2 linked regions of the Anolis sagrei genome follow. The protein of the gene in region 1 binds, or shares a complex with, the protein of each later gene. Links are inferred from orthologs where the notes say so. Each region holds a gene or a part of one and is shown in the gene's direction. Other genes may lie near its edges.

Region 1 (8,697 bases):
ATTTGTAGTTGGTGAGGAAGCAGCACTTTAGGGCAGAGAAAGCCAAAAACCTTGTAACAATACAACTCTCAGGATTCCATAGGATGGAGCTCTAGCAGTTAAAGCAGTGTTGAATTCTATAGTGTATGTGCACCCTGGGAATTAAGAGTCCAACAATATCTGAAGGGCCATATATACTAATTCTGAAAAGGTCCTCATAAAAGCAAACAGGATAAGAACATTTTAATCATACACTAAAATTAGCCTCCCATTGTTGCTTTCTTCTAAAGAAGTGCTAAACAAAATTCCCTACAGCTGTAGAAAAGAGCAGTGCAAAAGAAATTATTGTTTACTTCAAAGTCCCCCCCCCCCTATTTTTTTTCCTTTCAAGGACACAAACTTCCCTTCTCTTTCATCTGGTTATCTCTAACCTACATGGTCCCAGGGAATTTTGTGTATTTCCTTTATAACCCAAGACATGCTAGCATTGTTTGGCTACTCTCTCCAAGGATTCCCCATGCCCCAGGCAGGAATGTGTCCCTCCAGTGAGCTTTAGGTTTCTTCCAGGAAATGCTAGTTTACCTGCTTTAGGTAAATGGAATGAAAATGCCCAGCCTCTTTCCTCTTTCAGAATATACTACATGAATGCCTATGCAGTGCAAACTGATCGGGATGAAAGGGAAGGTATGGAGAATTTTAGTTGAATTTTCATGGATGCCTGTGTTGTATAATGTAAGTTTGGTTCTGTGTTATACCTTTTTTTTCTACTTGTTTGCAGTTCTGTTTTATTTGTGTATTTAAATTAATCAGTTAAATTGAAATGTAAATGTTTATATTTGCCCCTATGTATAGAGATCTGAAGGAAGGAAGAGAGAACAGCATTAATCAATTATGAAATAATTTAAATTAATTCAACAAGACCAATAAGGTACAGACATCCATACCGCAGTGGGTCTGAGTCAAGACTTGGTTTCCTGGCCCCAAATTTTGTGATGGACGGTGAAGTTTGAGGATTAGGAGTTTCTGAATCTGTATATTATGTTTCAAACTTTGGAAAATTGTTGTATATTAATTAGCTTAAAATTTTAGAGACACGTGCAAACACCCACCACACTTAAGTCATAATCTTAAACATTCTGCGGGCATATGTTCTTTCTGCTTTTTTATTTTACTTGTGCAGTAGTGTCTCAAATCTTTGAATCAGACATTTAACATGAAACCAAATCTTTTTGAGGTTAACCCACACCTCAAGTTCAGTTGGTTGAGAACAGAAGGAAGCTCAAATGCTATGGCCATATCACCCTGAACATGCCTGATCTTATCTGATCTTGAAAGCTAAGCAGAGTTGGGCCTAGTTAGTACTTGGATGGAAGACCACCTGGGAATACTGGGCGCTGTAAGCTAAAGAATGTTGGGGGTGCTTTGAATGTGATTTTCCTGCTTCTTGGCAGGGGGTTGGACTGGATGGCCCATGAGGTCTCTTCCAACTCTATGATTCTAATGAAAATGCTTAGAGGGCTGTGCGTAGTTTTCTCTTCTTTTCTGTGTAGATTTAGGACCATTTTGTTGACTTGTTAAATTCATCTTGAACAGTGTCATTCTCATTCATTGGGGCTAGCCTTGAAAATGTAGTTTAAAAATAGTTCTTATGCAGACACTTCAGTAGTGTCTCAATTGGCATGAGACATATGGGGGTGGGGTATAAAATGCTTTAAAGTTGTAATTTTTTGAAATGTAGTGTCTGCATACTACAGTAAATGTATACATTGTATAATCCTTAGTCAGTAGCATCATACATATATTCATTCCAGGTCTTGGAAACAAGTAGATGAATTTAACTAGCTGTTTGCACAGTTTGGTGACTCTTCCCCCAATGAAACGTAATGAGTTGATTTGTTGATCAATAGCACTCACTAATGTTGCTGAGATATAACTAGTTAAATTTATTTAGTTGTGTCTTAAAAAATCTCTAGTGAGGCTTTCAAAGTAAGTTTGGTGGCTTTAGAACACACTATTAATATGCTGCAGTAACTAAATGCTTTTCCTCGTTATGCATGGCACAGGGAGCATTCGGAATAGGAGAATTTTAAGAGAGCAGAGAGGTAATTGGGAATTGAAGATTGTAGAAAATGAACTTTGAATCTCTGATCCTTGTGTACAACATACACATTGGAGCATTTATCTACACAAGACCATGGGCCCATCCAGACAGGGCCTTTATTGTGGGAACTCCCACAATAAAGGAGGGGCTGTCCAGACAACATTCTGGACAGTCCTGAATTAATTCACTACAAACTAGGAGAACCCTGGTTTGTAGCGAATAAATTTGATAGTGGATTTATCCTATGCCTTTTTGGAAGGTGCGATAAATGCATTATTTCTGGTGTCTGTTCTACAGTCCAGACACCATTCCCACAGTTTACCGGCTAAATAAGCCTGGTAAACTGTGGGAATACCCACCCTCCCCCCAAGCCCCCAGACCCCTTAGTTAAAAAAAACTTACCAGGCCTGCAGTATACCCTCGGAGCAGCTCTTCCAGTGTATACAAATGACACGCCAGGAGAGCTGGGGGAGGGGGTGGAGAGGAGAAAATCCCTCCCCCATTCTTCTGGCACGTCATTTGTACGTGCCGGGAGAGCTGCTCTGAGGGTATACTGCAGACCTGGTAAGTTTTTGTAACCTTTCTAAGGGGTCTGAGGGCTTGGGGGGAGGGGGGTAGGGCCTCCGGACATTCTCTCAGGCTAGTCTCAAGAGAACGTCTGGATAACCCACCCCAGAATGCGTGCATTATTTTAATGTGGATGCTTCTGGGATAAAGGCCTGTCTGAATCCGGCCCATTTGACTCTGAAAGTTGAAGATGTAGTTATCCAGTATTGCAGAAAAAGTTTTGCATATGTTCTGAATCACTCAAAATACTTCTGAATAAGACTTCTTTACCTTTAGTTCACTGCCTGATGTTTGTAGCTAGCTGCTTTTTGCTGCACTTCAATTTTGCTTTGATTCAATGTGTTGTGACTCAAATGAACAGTCTTCCCCTTATTTATCATCTCCAATTCAAGAAAGGGTAAAAGGTAAAGTAGTTTGTTAGGGGACAATTGTAACCAATTGTGTCATTTTTTTTAAAAAAAGATTGTTAACTATTTTATTAACAAGTTACTTCACAGTAACAGAACCTATTAAATTCTAGATGTCTCAATATTAACAGTTGCACATTTTCCCACTTTTGGAATAACCAATCTGTCTGCCAGTTCCTTTTCTTTTCTTTCTTTCCATTACTTCTCTTTTTGTCAGCAACTAAAGACCTTTTCATATAAGCAGGCTCTTGGCCTTTAACCTGTTGTGGTTGAATAGGAGGTGTTATACTTTTATCCTATTTAATGCATTAAAGTGCTTCAACTTGTCTTAAACAGTTTTATTTTAGAACAATTGGCCCTTCCTAGCCATGAATTCTGCGTGCACACATTTCCTCATCAACAACTTGAATTTTAAGAAAAATTCCAAAAGCAAACCTTAATGTAATGGACATTGTTGTACTAAACAATTGCATATAAACAAACAAATAAATAAATAATCCCCATGGATTATTCATGAGTCACTATATTTTAATGAAATTGCTTATATTTTTTTAAAAGTCATGTGGATCTTAGATATGTTTTGTTCTAATTTGTTATAAGTAGCTTTAGGTCCCATACCAGGAGAAAAGCAGGATACAAAATAAATGAGTGAAATAAATGTTAAGGAATCACTGTTTTTGTTTTGTGTATTTTGATACATATTTTATGGAGGTATATTTTAATATGTGTATTTTACAGAATGTTTTAAAATGATTGTATGTTGTTTATGTTTTCATAATGCTCTAACCTGCCTTGAGCTGTGAGGACAGGCGGGCAAGAAATAAAACTATTCTTCTTCTTCTTCTTCTTCTTCTTCTTCTTATTATTATTATTATTATTAAACCTAAAATTACAATATTTTGGTCTATTAGCAGTACTGCCAGTTGGTTCAATAAATATCTGTATGCAAGTTGGAAGTGATCTGTGAATTCAGTGGAGTAGATTTTTTTTAATAAAAAGGACACATCTTTATTTTCCTTATCCATTTTTAATTATCTGGTTTTTTTCTGATAATGATATACAGTATCTGGTATAGGCTGCTGCTAAGGTCATGGAACAGATGGGACTTGGGGCTGATTTGCAATAGCAGGCCTTATACTGCTCTTGTTCCGTAGATACATTACTTTTAAAATGGCAATCCCATGATCATAAAACTATAAGGCTGATGTGTGTGTATTACAGTAAGGATTAATTTATATAAACCACTACCAGGAAGAGAAGCAATTATACTTAATGAGCCATACAATATGTTAAAAGTCATTGTTATAGAACATATAGATATGACCTGAAGCATAACTTGTTTTAGATCTTGGTGATAGTGTAATTATTTATACCAGAGCGAGGCTAGGGGAACAATCTATGTGAGCTGAATATTGATGAACTTTATCCCTTTGAGGATTACCATTATTTGTGTCCTTTTGGCATACAGATGGCTTATTTCTGAATGGTCATATAGAACAAAAAATTAAATAATCTGCAGTATTGTTAGCCTTTAAAATTTCAGGGAATTATTGTGTTAATGTTTTGTTTAAAAAATGTAAAAGTTTGTGAGAGAGTTTCAAAACCAGAATACTGTCTGAATTTTTACAAAATTGAATGCACAGTACTTGTACATATATTGCATTTTAGCAAAATGTGAATTAAAGCATCATTTTTTTTTTTACAAAGGTTAAAAATACTACTTTTTTCAGGGAACAGCCAGAAAGTTTTATGTGAAGCCTGAGTTTTAATTTCCCTCTTTCTTTTTCTTGCTCTCTTTTCCTTCCCAACATAAAATTCCAGGAAGTCAAACTTTTGAAGTCTTGAAATTTAAGACATGCAACGACAAACTGATCCACCCCCAGTAACAATGCAGGGGATTCAGGCAGTGGAGGGAAAAAATCCTGTTGTCAAGGCATCCTTATTCACATCAACCAAAGGGAGCCTGGAGTGTAGCAGCAGACTCTGTCTGAAGAGGCAACGCTGCCACGAGCCACCATTGGAAGGAGCTGTCTGCATCTCTCGGTGCTCTACTGAGCATGTCCCAGAGGAGCTCTATGCCAGCAGCACATTATGCAAAAAAGCAGCTCGAGCAGCTGAGAGGGAGGCAGAACAAGCCTTTGCTCCACTTGCATCACCGCTGCTTGAAAACAAACCTGGATTACCCGAAAGGTCTCCGCTGCCAGGCCAGCTGAATGAAACCGAACGACATGACTTGATTCCTGATGCTGCACCACTGCAAAGCAATATGGGGAATCAAGATGGGAAACTGAAGAAGAATGCAGGTGATGCACACGATGGAGGTGAGGATGCTTCAGGGCCCAGGGATGCGGATGGCACAAAGAAGGGAGCAGGGAGCAAAAAGGGACTGGGGAAGCATGGCAAAGGGAATGAATCGGGTAAAAAGAAGGGCAAGTCAGAGTCCCGAGGCTCTGTGTTTTCCAATCTGCGGATCAGAAAGAATCTCTCCAAAGCAAAGGATGGAAACAGCAGCTCAAGAGAGGATGTTTTAGAAAGCCAGGCCTCACAAACAGGGGAGCTAGACAGCGCTCATTCAGTCCTCACCAAAACTCCTGATATTAGCATTTCTGCAGATGAGGGGGGTCTCTCAGACACAGATGTGGAACATTTTGAACATACAAATGAAACTCGCCCAGCTGCAGCCGAGCCGCAGGATGGACAAAGGACCAGCTCCGGCTCCGATACGGATATATACAGTTTCCATTCAGCCACAGAACAAGAGGATTTGCTTTCTGATATCCAGCAGGCTATTAGACTGCAACTGCAGCAGCAGCAGGGGGCAATTAATATTGGAACTGAGCAGAATGGCACCAAAACAATGGGCCTACACATGGCTAATTCTCAAGCAGCCCCCTTCGATTTTGAAAGGTTTCTTTCATTAAGCAGTGACAAAGACAGCAGTCCAGAAACAGAACAACCTGTCTCAGCTAAATCGGAAATTGCAGACTATATCCCTACAAGTGATATCGAAAGTGGAGTGAAAGGGGTGACAAATGGAACAGGGCATTCCTGCAGCAGTGTATTTGATGTGCAAGAAGAACATAAGCAGTTGCCAGAAGAGCAAAGGCAATCTGCCAGTGAACAAAAAGCTGCAGCAACAGAAAATGGGACTCTGCTAGCCAGAACAGTGTTTAATTTCCCATCACCAATTGGGGAATCGGAAACTGAGGTGATGGCTTTTGAATTTTCAGGTTCAGAAAGGGAGGAAGAGGATATTGCTGACACAAGCCACAGCCAAGCTGAAGGAGCCAAAGACAGGAAAAGGAGTATATCAGCTAGCAGGGAGGCCTTAGATGATGGCTTTACTGCTACAATAAAAAATGGAACTCTGTCCTCCAATGATGTCTCAAGTAGTCCTATGCATAGTTCCAAAGGTTTAAAGCCCTTTCCTCCCATTAACCCATGCTATATCAAAACCACCACTAGGCAGTTGAGTTCTCCAAATCATTCGCCCTGTCTGTCGCCATCCCAAAGTCCACTCTTCAAAAGGAGACGTGAGTCTGCTCAGAGGAAAGAAAATGTGTCATCCAAGAAGCAGAGGTCATCCAGTTTGGCTGGTCCATTTAGCCGATCAGCAGACTGGACAGATGAGGTTTTCAATCATCGAGGTGATGTAGCTCAAAAGTCAGGCTCTGCAGATTTCTTGGAGTACAGACGGAGTAGAGACGGCTTCCAGGGAGAGAGAGTGCCTTTGAATCACTTGAGAAAGTCCTCTGGGACTCCAGCTTCCACTGACACCTTCCCCAATGTTTTTACAGGTGAGTGCTAATTGTAAATGAACATTAGCTGTTGACTCAAGTCTTAGGAGTAAGCTCTTCATACAGAACTAATAATGCAGGTTTTCTATTTTAGATTAGATCAGTGGTTCTCAACCTGTGGGTCCCCAGGTGTTTTGGCCTACAACTCCCAGAAACCTCAGTCTGTTTACCAGGTGTTAGGATTTCTGGGAGTTGCAGACTAAAACATCTGGGGACCCACAGGTTGAGAACCACCGGATTAGATTAAAAACCCAAATTCTGCATATATATATATGTATGTGTGTATATATATATATCAGATTCCATTGGAAATGAATGTATGGCAAAGCATCAATTTAGAACTCTTCTAGGTGAGATATATTAAGTATATGCATTGGGCAACTAATATTGTGTGTAGTAATAGTGTCTTGTGTGATTAACATTCAAAGTGCTTTACATTCTTAATAGGGAGCTACTCATCTTTGCAACAGGGTGCATTAATGAAAGCTAATGATCTGACCAAGGCCTCCCAATGAATAAATCTAGACCAGCCAAACACAATTGAATCTAGACCAGCCAAACTACACACGGTTTTGTTCACTGGGCTGATTTCTTATATAACTTTTGATACATTTCTGTTTCCTAATATTTTGTGTCTTGTTTCTTTACAACAATATTGAAAGTTCAGATGTTTTCCATTCTTGAGAACATAAACTTGGAATAACAATGGGCAGTGAGCCAGATTTCAGGCCCCTTCTCCATGCAGATATCTACTGAAACCTTACATAGTTTCAGTATTGATTTCCACAGCCTTGCTTTGCTTTATTCTGATGCTTAAAACCATTTTATGAAGTTAGTAGTGAGGTACCAGGCAAGAAAATTGATGGAGATGCTTTTTGCTTTGCTTCAAATACTTTTTGGTTCTGACCACTATAATGATATCTTGTGATGCTCTGTTCAAACCCAGAAGCACTTGAGAGAAAGAGAAAACAGCTCAACACTTCACTTGCATCAGGTGCACTTTTAAGAAAGATTTATTACCCAGTGGGTTGCACAAATAGTTTTGTACACATTAGCTCTTACTCTTGACACTGTCCAGCTAAAACATATGGGATCTGCCCCCCTACTACTTACAAAATGATTATGTTATAGGTCCCCAAGGCCTTGATGTACCCTCAAAAATCCATTATAAGAGTCCAGAGGTTTTCGGACAGTGGTTCTCAACCTGTGGGTCCCCAGATGTTTTGGCCTTCAACTTCCTGAAATCCTAACAGCAGGTAAACTGGCTGGGATTTCTGGGAGTTGTAGGCCAAAACATCTGACGACTCACATGTTGAGAACCACTGTTGTAGGAGAAAAGGAAGTATGTGCAATAGCTGCCTGGCCTATCCCAACAGTGTTTAGCAGCACCATAGGATCTTACGTTTGTAAAAGTGGTAACAGTGTCAGCTAGAACGAGCGCCCTGAAGCAATACCAGATGTTTAACTATGCTGCATGCTGACACTGAGACTTCTGGGTTGGTATTTACTGTGCCTCAGCTTCTCGGCCGAATGCCATCTGGTAGCTAAACATTGACAATATACAGTATAATCTATAATTCCATTTATGTAAAAGCATGTCTTAGGATGCATCTGCTCTGTAGAATGAATGCAGTTTGACACCACTTTAACTGTCATGGCTCAATACTATGGAGTCCTGGGAGTTGTAGTTTTCCAAGGTACCTTACCCTTTCTGCTGAAGAGTGCTGGTGCCTCACCAAACAATAAAACCCAGGATTCCATAGAAGTAAACCATGTCAGTACTACACTCATTTGACAGTGTAGATTTAACTTAGATCAAGAGCTGACCAACCATCTTGCCTTCCAG
Region 2 (8,706 bases), on another chromosome or scaffold:
AATTAAAAGACCCCAAAAACCCGGGTAGAAGAGGCTCGGGGCAAGAGGACATTAACATGAAAGACATCCTGAAAGAACTTCAAAAACTATCGGAAAAAATAACTGAAAATCAAGAAGAGAACAAGAAAGAACTGAAGTCCATTAGGGAAAGCCAAATCAAACAACAGGCCCAACTTGAGCTAATGAGGAAAGAGTTTAAAGAAGACCTAGGTACTATTAGAAAGGACATTATGAAGAACTCTAACGACATAAATATAATTAAGAACGATAGCTGCAAGCTAGGGAAGGAGCAAAAAAAGATGCAACGCGAACTAGAAGAACTATCGGCAAAAAATGACAGGACTATAAGGGAGCTGGAACATGCCCAGCAAGAGGAGATGGAATATTTTTTGAGACTGAGGAATCTTCAGGAAGAATCTCAAGAAGATCTAAGAGCAAAAATTATTAATCTACTGGCAACCCACACCGACATACCAGAAGGAACAATTCAACAAGAAATAGACCGCACCTACCGAGTTCAATCGTCCTTCGCCAAACAAAACAAGGTTGCAAGAGACGTGATGGTGCGTTTCACGCGCAAATATACTAGAGATGAAATCCTGAGACAATCTAATAAAAACCCTTTAACACTAGATGGAAAGAAAATCATAGTACTCAAAGAAATTCCTAAATCAATACTGGACAGACGCAAAAAATATTCGTTTTTAACCCAAGAACTGAAGAGACGCAGCATCAAATTTAGGTGGGACAAATCGGAAGGTCTAATGGGCACCTTCAAAGATGAGAGATATTGGATTAAAAGTGAGGAGAAGGCTAAAGCCTTTCTACAAAGGATAAAAAGAGAAGGCACAACATCCCAGGTAGAAGAATCACCATCAACAGGAAACACAAGGAAGCGTCTCCGACCGAATACCCCGACCAAAGAAGATGAAAAACCAGACCGGGCGATGGCGCTGACTATGACTATGGACAACGTAGAAACTGGATTAGGCGATGCCAAGTTTAGTCTTGATGAGTCATTGGCGAGGGTCTCAGTGGTCTCAGGAAGTGAGTGAAGTGACTGCAAGTCCCATCATCCATTGTCAAATTCTTCCAAACCGCACCAGGATGTAGAGTGAGTTATGCAGGCTCTCTGTGTAAATTGTGGTCCTGATCCATCATCGTTGGCAGTTGTAATGGTCTTAGGAAGGGAGTGCAGGTAATGCAAGTTCCATCATCCATGGTGCATCCTCCCTCAAACTGCACCTGGATGTAGAGTGCGTCATGGAGACTCAGTGTGCCAAGTTTGGTATTTATCGGTAATTGGATGAGGGTTGCAGTGGTCTGAAGAATTGAGCAGTGGTACTGCAAGTCCCATAATCCACGGTCCATCTCGGCCAAACCACACCAGGACGTAAAGTGGGTCATGAGAGGTCTCTGTGTGAAATTTGGTCCTGATCAGTCATTGGATAAGGTTAACAGCGGTCTCAGAATGTGAGTGGTGGTACTGCAAGTCCCATCATCCATGGTTCCTAGTCCTCCAAACTGCAGTAGGATGTAGAGTGGGTGATAGGGGCTCTGTGTGCCTATTTCGGTCTGTATTGGTAGTGTTCTGACTCAGCCCCCTCTGGCCTTTTCCTTTCCTCTCTTTCTCATCTCGGAATGTTGGATTTGAGGCTGGCCAATCAGAGGCCATATGCAAATTTCCTTCTGTCATGCCCCGTTTCTGCCATGAACCCTCTTCTCCACCAGGGGCTCCTATTGAAGCTGCCCAATCAGAGACCATATGCAAATAGCAGCATAGTGGCAGCCAATCAGAACGCTGCCACAAACTTTTCCGCCCTACGTCCTCCCTCCACATACAAACACTCTTCTTTATTATATACTAGCTTGGGGACCCGGCGTTGCCCGGGTTATTAGAGAAAGTAGGTAATGGCGGTTCTGTATGCCAAGTTTGGACTTTATTGGTCTTTGGATAATGGCTGCATTATTTTCAGGAAGTGAGTGAAGGTACCTGAAGTCCCATCATCCATGGGCCATCCTCCTACAAACAGCAGCAGGATATAGAGTGGGTCATGGGGGCTCTGTGTGCCAAGTTTGGTCTTTATCAGTCATTAGATGAGGGTGGCAGTGGTGTCAGTAAGTGAGTGAAGGTACTGCAAGTCCCATCATCCATTGTCAAATTCTTCCAATCCGCACCAGGATGTAGAGTGGGTCATGCTGGGTCTCTGTGTAAATTGTGGTCCTGATCCATCATTGTTGTCAGTTGTAATGGTCTTAGGAAGGGAGTGCAGGTATTGCAAGTCCCATCGTCCATGGTGCACCCTCCTTCAAACTGCACCTGGATGTAGAGTGCGTCATGGAGACTCAGTGTGCCAAGTTTGGTCTTTATCGGTAATTGGATGAGCGTTGCAGTGGTCTCAGGAATTGCGCAAAAGTACTGCAAGTCTCATAATCCATGGTCTATCCCCAGCCAAACACACACCAGGAGGTAAAGTGGGTCATGAGAGGTCTATGTGGCAAGTTTGGTCCTGATCAGACATTGGATGAGGTTAACAGCGGTCTCAGAATGTGAGTGATGGTACTGTAAGTCCCATCATCCAAAGTCGATCCTCCTTCAAACTGCAGCAGGATGCAGAGTGGGTCATGGGGGCTCTGTGTGCCAAGTTTGATCTTGATCAGACATTAGATGAGGGTTGCAGCTGTCTTGGGAAGGGAGTGGAGGTACTTGAAGTCCCATCATCCATAGTCTGTTCTCTCCCAAACCTCACCAGAATGTTGAGTTGGCCATGGGAGCTCTGTGTGCCAAGTTTGGTCTTCATCAGTCATTGGATGAGGGTCTCAGTGGTTTCACTGAGTGAAGGTACTCTAAGTCCCATCATCCATGGTGCATCATCCTCCAAACCATACCAGGATGTAGAGTGCATAATGGAGACCCGGTGTGCCAAGTTTGGTCCTTATCAGAAATTGGATGATGTTTTGCAGTGGTCTCAGAAATTGAGCGAAGGTACTGCAAGTCCCAAAATCCATGCACGATCCACAGTCAAACCTCACCAGGGCATAAAGTGGGTCATGAGAGGTCTATGTGCCAAGTTTGGTGTTGTTCAGTCATTGTTGAGGGTCGCAGCAGTCTCGGAAAGCGAGTAGAGGTACTTCAAGTCCCATCATCCATGGCATGCCCTACTCCAAACCGTATTAGGATGTAGAGTGGGTCATGGGGGCTCTGTGTGCCAAGTTTGGTTTTGTTTGGACATTAGATGAGGGTTGCAGCAGTCTTGGGAAGGGAGTGGAGGTACTTCAAGTCCCATCATCCATGGTCTGTCCTCCTCGAAAGTGCACCAGGATGTAGAGTGGGTCATGGGGGACTCTGTTTGCCAAGTTTGGTCTTGATCAGTCATTGGCGAGGGTCGCAGTGATCTCAGGAAGTGAGTGAAATGATTGCAAGTCCCATCATCCATTGCCAAATTCTTCCAAACCGCACCAGGATGTAGAGTGGGTCATGCAGGCTCTCAGTGTAAATTGTGGTCCTGATCCATCATCGTTGGCAGTTGTAATGGTCTTAGGAAGGGAGTTTAGGTATTGTAAGTCCCATCGTCCATGGTGCATCCTCCTTCAAACTGCACCTGGATGTAGAGTGCGTCATGGAGACTCAGTGTGCCAAGTTTGGTATTTATCGGTAATTGGATGAGGGCTGCAGTGGTCTGAAGAATTGAGCAATGGTACTGCAAGTCCCATAATCCACGGTCCATCCCCGGCCAAACCACACCAGGACGTACAGTGGGTCATGAGAGGTCTATGTGCGAAGTTTGGTCCTGATCAGTCACTGGATGAGGTTAACAGCAGTCTCAGAATGTGAGTGGTGGTACTGCAAGTCCCATCATCCATGGTTCATCCTCCTCCAAACTGCAGTAGGATGTAGAGTGGGTGATGGGGGCTCTGTGTGCCAATTTCGGTCTGTATTGGTAGTGTTCTGACCCAGCCCCCGGCCTTTCCTTTCCTCTCTTTCTCATCTCGGAATCTTGCATTTGAGGCTGGCCAATCAGAGACCATATGCAAATTTCCTTCTGTCATGCCCCGTTTCTGCCATGAACCCTCTTCTCCACCAGGGGCTCCTATTGAAGCTGGCCAATCAGAGACCATATGCAAATAGCACCACAGCGGCAGCCAATCAGAACGCTGGCACATACACTTCCGCCCTCCCTCCGTCCTTCCTCTGTCCTATACAAACAAACACTCTTCTTTATTATATATACAGATATAGATACAGATATAGATATAGATAGATAGACATAGATAGATAGATTGATTGATTGTTTGGTAACATTAATAAGCTGAGCCAAGTCTACAAGGACTTTGTTAATAAATACCCTGTTTAATGTTTAATCTTGAAGTGGTCTCAGTTATTCAAGAAAGCTCAATCTTCTAAAGAAAGACCCCAGCAGTTTCGCCCAGACATAGATAGCAGTACATCAGAGTTTGTTTTATAAAGCGTCTGGGCGTAACGGCACAGAACAACCAAAGACAAACCAAAGACACCCATCCTTGCGTGCTGTGTTTCCTGCTGCGCGCGCGCCGGCCGGAGGAGGGCGCCGGTGCGCGAGGGGCGCTCCCGCGTGCTGGGCGGGGCCTGCTCCTCCTCCTCCTCCAGTGGATTGCTGGCGGCAGGCGCGCGCTGCGTCGGGCGCCTCACGCGCTCTCTTTCCCGAGGCGGCGAAGCAGGAGGTGGGCGGAGCCTATCGGGAGATGCGGGCCACTTGAAGCGGCGCAGCCGAGGCGAGCGGAGCTAGAGGGAATGGCTGCGGCGGCGGCGGGAGGCAGCGAGGAGCCCTTGCCGGGCCCTTCGGGGCTCCGCAGGGGAGGACGAGGCGACGGCGAGAAGGACGAGGACGACGACGAGGAGGAGGCGCCCTTGGCTCCACTGCGGGAGGCGCTCTCTCTGGAGGAGATCCTGAGGCTCTACAACCAGCCCATCAACGAGGAGCAGGCCTGGGCCGTGTGCTACCAGTGCTGCGGGTCTCTCCGGAGAGAGTCGTCGTCGTCGCCGCTGGGACGCCGGGTGGAGAGCCCCGCCGACATCCGCATCGCCAGGGACGGCGCCGTCACCTTGGACCGAGGAGGAGGAGGAGGCCCCGGAGGAGCAGGTAGGAGCCCTCCGTTCCCATGGCGACGGCCCCCCTCCCGTCTCCTAGCAACGCAGGGGGAGAGCCCCTCCCTGCCCGGGGGATCCGTTGCTAGGGGGAGAATCCTCTCCTAGCAACGGACCCCCGCCTTGCCCTTGCTGTCCCCTCCTTCCCTCACGTTATCCTTAGCTCGCCTTTCTCTCTCATGTTTATATATTGGGCCTTCCTTATCCGCTGGGGTTTGGTCCCGGGAATCCGCAAAACCCTAAGCAAATTGTGACCAAGATTGCAAATCAGGCCTGGGCAAACTGCGGCCCTCCTGATGTTTTGGACTTCAACTCCCACAATTCCTAACAGCCGCTGTTAGGAATTGTAGGAGTTGAAGTCCAAAACATCAGGAGGGCCACAGTTTGCCCATGCTTGCTGTAAATACTATAACTTCTACTACTAATCTATATAAATAAAAATACAGTGGTCAATGTATTGTCGAAGGCTTTCATGGCTGGAATCACTAGGTTCTTGTGGGTTTTTTCGGGCTATAGGGCATTTCTCCTGACGTTTCGCCTGCATCTATGGCAAGCATCCTCAGAGGTAGTGAGGTCTGTTGGAAATAGGACAAAATCCGCGGCGGCATGGTATACGGTAAAACTATTAAAACAGACCTCACTACCTCTGAGGATGCTTGCCATAGATGCAGGCGAAACGTCAGGAGAAATGCCTCTAGAACATGGCCCTATAGCCCGAAAAAACCCACAAGAACCTAATGCAATGTTCATTTGTGGGATTAATATAACTCAAAAACCACTGGACTAATTGACACCAAATTTGGACACAATACACCTTTCAGGCCAATGAGTGACCATCACTCATAAAAACACAGAAAAACATAGCAGAAGATACTTAAGAAGCCAAAAAACAAAAATTACATCACAACACATGCACAAAACCACATATATACACAAACATACATATATACACACATAAACAAACATACACACACTCATATACACACACACAAAACACATATACAGAGACTGGGCCACAGCAACGTGTGGCAGGGGATGGCTATTAAATAATAAAGGAGACGCTAATGATGTTGGTTTTTATGGCTTCTGTTGTGGTTTTATATTGTTTTTAATGTTTTAATTTGTATTATGATATTATGTGTACTGATTTGTTGTTAACCCGCCCTGAGTCGCCGACAGGCTGAGAAAGGCCGTATACCAATACAGTAAATATAAATAAAATAATAAATAAATAAACTTTATTTATATTTTTCCCCCTTCTTCCCAAAGGGACCCAGGAAGGCCTACAGCCAAACAAACAAATACAGTAAATGGTATAACACTGACAAAGATCACATATCAATTTGTGAAAGCAAAATAGCAGGATAATGAAGTGCTCTTGTATTTAGCCCCCTGGTGGCGCAGCATGTTAAACCGCTGAGCTTGCTGACCAAAAGGTTGGCGGTTCGAATCTGGGGAAAGGGGTGAGCTCCCGCTGTTAGCCCCAGCTTCTGTCAACCTAGCAGTTTGAAAACATGCAAATGTGAGTAGATCAGTACATGCTGCTCTGGTGGGAAGGTAATGGTCCTCCATGTAGTAATGCTGGCCCCATGACCTTGGAGGTGTCTACGAACAACGCCGGCTCTTCGGCTTAGAAATGGAGATGAGCACCATCCCCCAGAGTTGAACACGATTTGACTTAATGTTGGGGGAAAACTTTTACCTTTACATAATAATAATAATAATAATAATAATAATAAGGTATTTATATCCCACCCCTCTCCCCAAAGGGACTTGGGTGGCTTACAGCAAAATAAACAAATACAGTAAATGTGTTTGTCAAAGGCTTTAATGGCTAGAATCACTGGGTTGCTGTGAGTTTTCCGGGCTGTATAGCCATGTTCCAGAAGCATTCTCTCCTGATGTTTCGCCCACATCTGTGGCAGGAATCCTCAGAGATTGTGAGGTCTGTTGGAAACAACGCAAGTAAGGTTTATATATCTGTTGAAGGTCCAAGGTGAGAGAAAGAACTCTTGTCTGTTAAAGGCAAGTATGAATGCTTCAATTGAACACCTTGATTAGCACAGCCTAGAAGTCAGCCGTAGCAGAACACCTGATGAACCAACCTGGACACAGCATATGACTTGAGAACACAGAAATGCTGGGCCACTCTAACAATCACCATGTCCGATTACACAGAGAAGCCATTGTACTCCACAAGCATGTGGACAATTTCAACAGAAAGGAGGAAACCATGAAAATGGACAAAATCTGGCTACCAGTATTAAAAAATCTCTAAAATCAGGACAGTAATTAAAAAGGAACATTCAAACACCAGGGGAATTCCAGACAGGAAACAATCAGGGCCAGGTAACACCTCCCAAACAAAGGATTCCTCCAGGCAGGAAGCAGCCAAGTCTTGAAGCTGCAAGGTTATTCAGTGCTAATCATGGTGATCAGTTGCAACATTCACACTTGCCTCAGGCAGACAAGAATTCTTTCTCCCACCCTGGACATTCCACAGACATAAAAAACCCCACTTGCTTTGTTTCCAACAAACCTCACAATCTCTGAGGATGCCTGCCATAGATGTGGGTGAAATGTCAGGAGAGAATGCCATACAGCCCGAAAAACTCACAGCAACCCAGAATGCAGTAAATGATATAACACAGACAATAATTGCATACCAGTTTATAAAAGCAAAATAGCATGATAATGTAAACATAAATTTAAAAAGTTTAAAAGACGATTTATCCCTCTAAAAACAGTGTGTGTGTGTGTGTATGTATGTATCTATGTGTGTGTGTGTATGTATGTATCTATGTGTGTGTGTGTGTGTGTGTGTATATATATATATATATACATACTGTTTAAAACCAGCTAATTCCTATGATCAGAGTATGATACATTCCTATGATACATTTTATTTATTACCCCCTCTCCGAATGGCTACAGGCAGAGTGCAACAAATTCAAAAACAAATGCACATAAACAAACAAGAAATTACTAAATTACATAGATAAAGGTACATAAATATATAATGCAATCTAACACCTTTACTGCTGGCTTGAGGCAGGGTACAACAAATTCAAAAATACATGAAGATTAAAAAATATAATGAATTACCAAATAAGTTAGATAGATAAAAACACATAAATATATAAAGACATAAATATGTAACGTTACACAACAGTTTTACTGCATTATAAATACCTATTCCAGATATCAACTCTCAAGCAACCAACCCCAAAAAACCAAAGAGTGCTTCAAATAAAAAGTTTAAAAAATCATATTTTATCTAATACTATAAAACACGTTGATCCATGTTTAGCTGCCATCTTTCTATTAATCCACAGTAGACTCTCCATTAACCAGAACTCTTGAGCAACCAAAACTCTCAACTGGCACAAAAAAGAAAAACATTTTTATGCAGAACAAGGCTTTTTAAAATAATTCAGTAAAACCGTTACATTATGTTTGCCTTTCTTTGTCATAATTTGCTTTTAATTTGCTGTGAACTGATATCAAAAGCATTGGTAGATAACGGATACATGTAGTTTCTGGTTACTTGAGAGCTACTGTTAAAACAGGCCTAACTTGTA

What was found.
Region 2: the proteins of FMN2 (region 1) and SPIRE1 are in contact, whole or in part, in a crystal structure (PDB 2YLE), measured with the Homo sapiens proteins. The link is inferred for Anolis sagrei from reciprocal best matches to the Homo sapiens genes FMN2 and SPIRE1. Residues at the interface, in NP_064450.3 of Homo sapiens: Ser1702, Leu1703, Lys1705, Ile1706, Lys1707, Pro1708, Arg1709, His1710, Gly1713, Ile1714, Lys1715, Lys1717, Ile1718, Lys1721, Thr1722; in NP_001122098.1 of Homo sapiens: Gln51, Pro52, Ile53, Asn54, Glu127, Ile131, Tyr134, Lys135, Asp138, Leu141, Lys142, Glu143, Asn144, Glu145, Glu146, Arg147, Glu148, Glu154, Ile157, Asp158, Ala161, Asn162, Thr163, Val164, Glu165.

Annotation. Positions count from the first base shown.
Region 1 is NC_090021.1:56,809,507-56,818,203, reverse strand, and holds the start of FMN2 (formin-2), read left to right. Parts: upstream 1-5,011; 5' UTR 5,012-5,320; coding exon 5,321-6,851; intron 6,852-8,697. UniProt on the Homo sapiens protein: Actin-binding protein that is involved in actin cytoskeleton assembly and reorganization. Acts as an actin nucleation factor and promotes assembly of actin filaments together with SPIRE1 and SPIRE2.
Region 2 is NC_090024.1:66,244,092-66,252,797, reverse strand, and holds the start of SPIRE1 (protein spire homolog 1), read left to right. Parts: upstream 1-4,629; 5' UTR 4,630-4,771; coding exon 4,772-5,120; intron 5,121-8,706.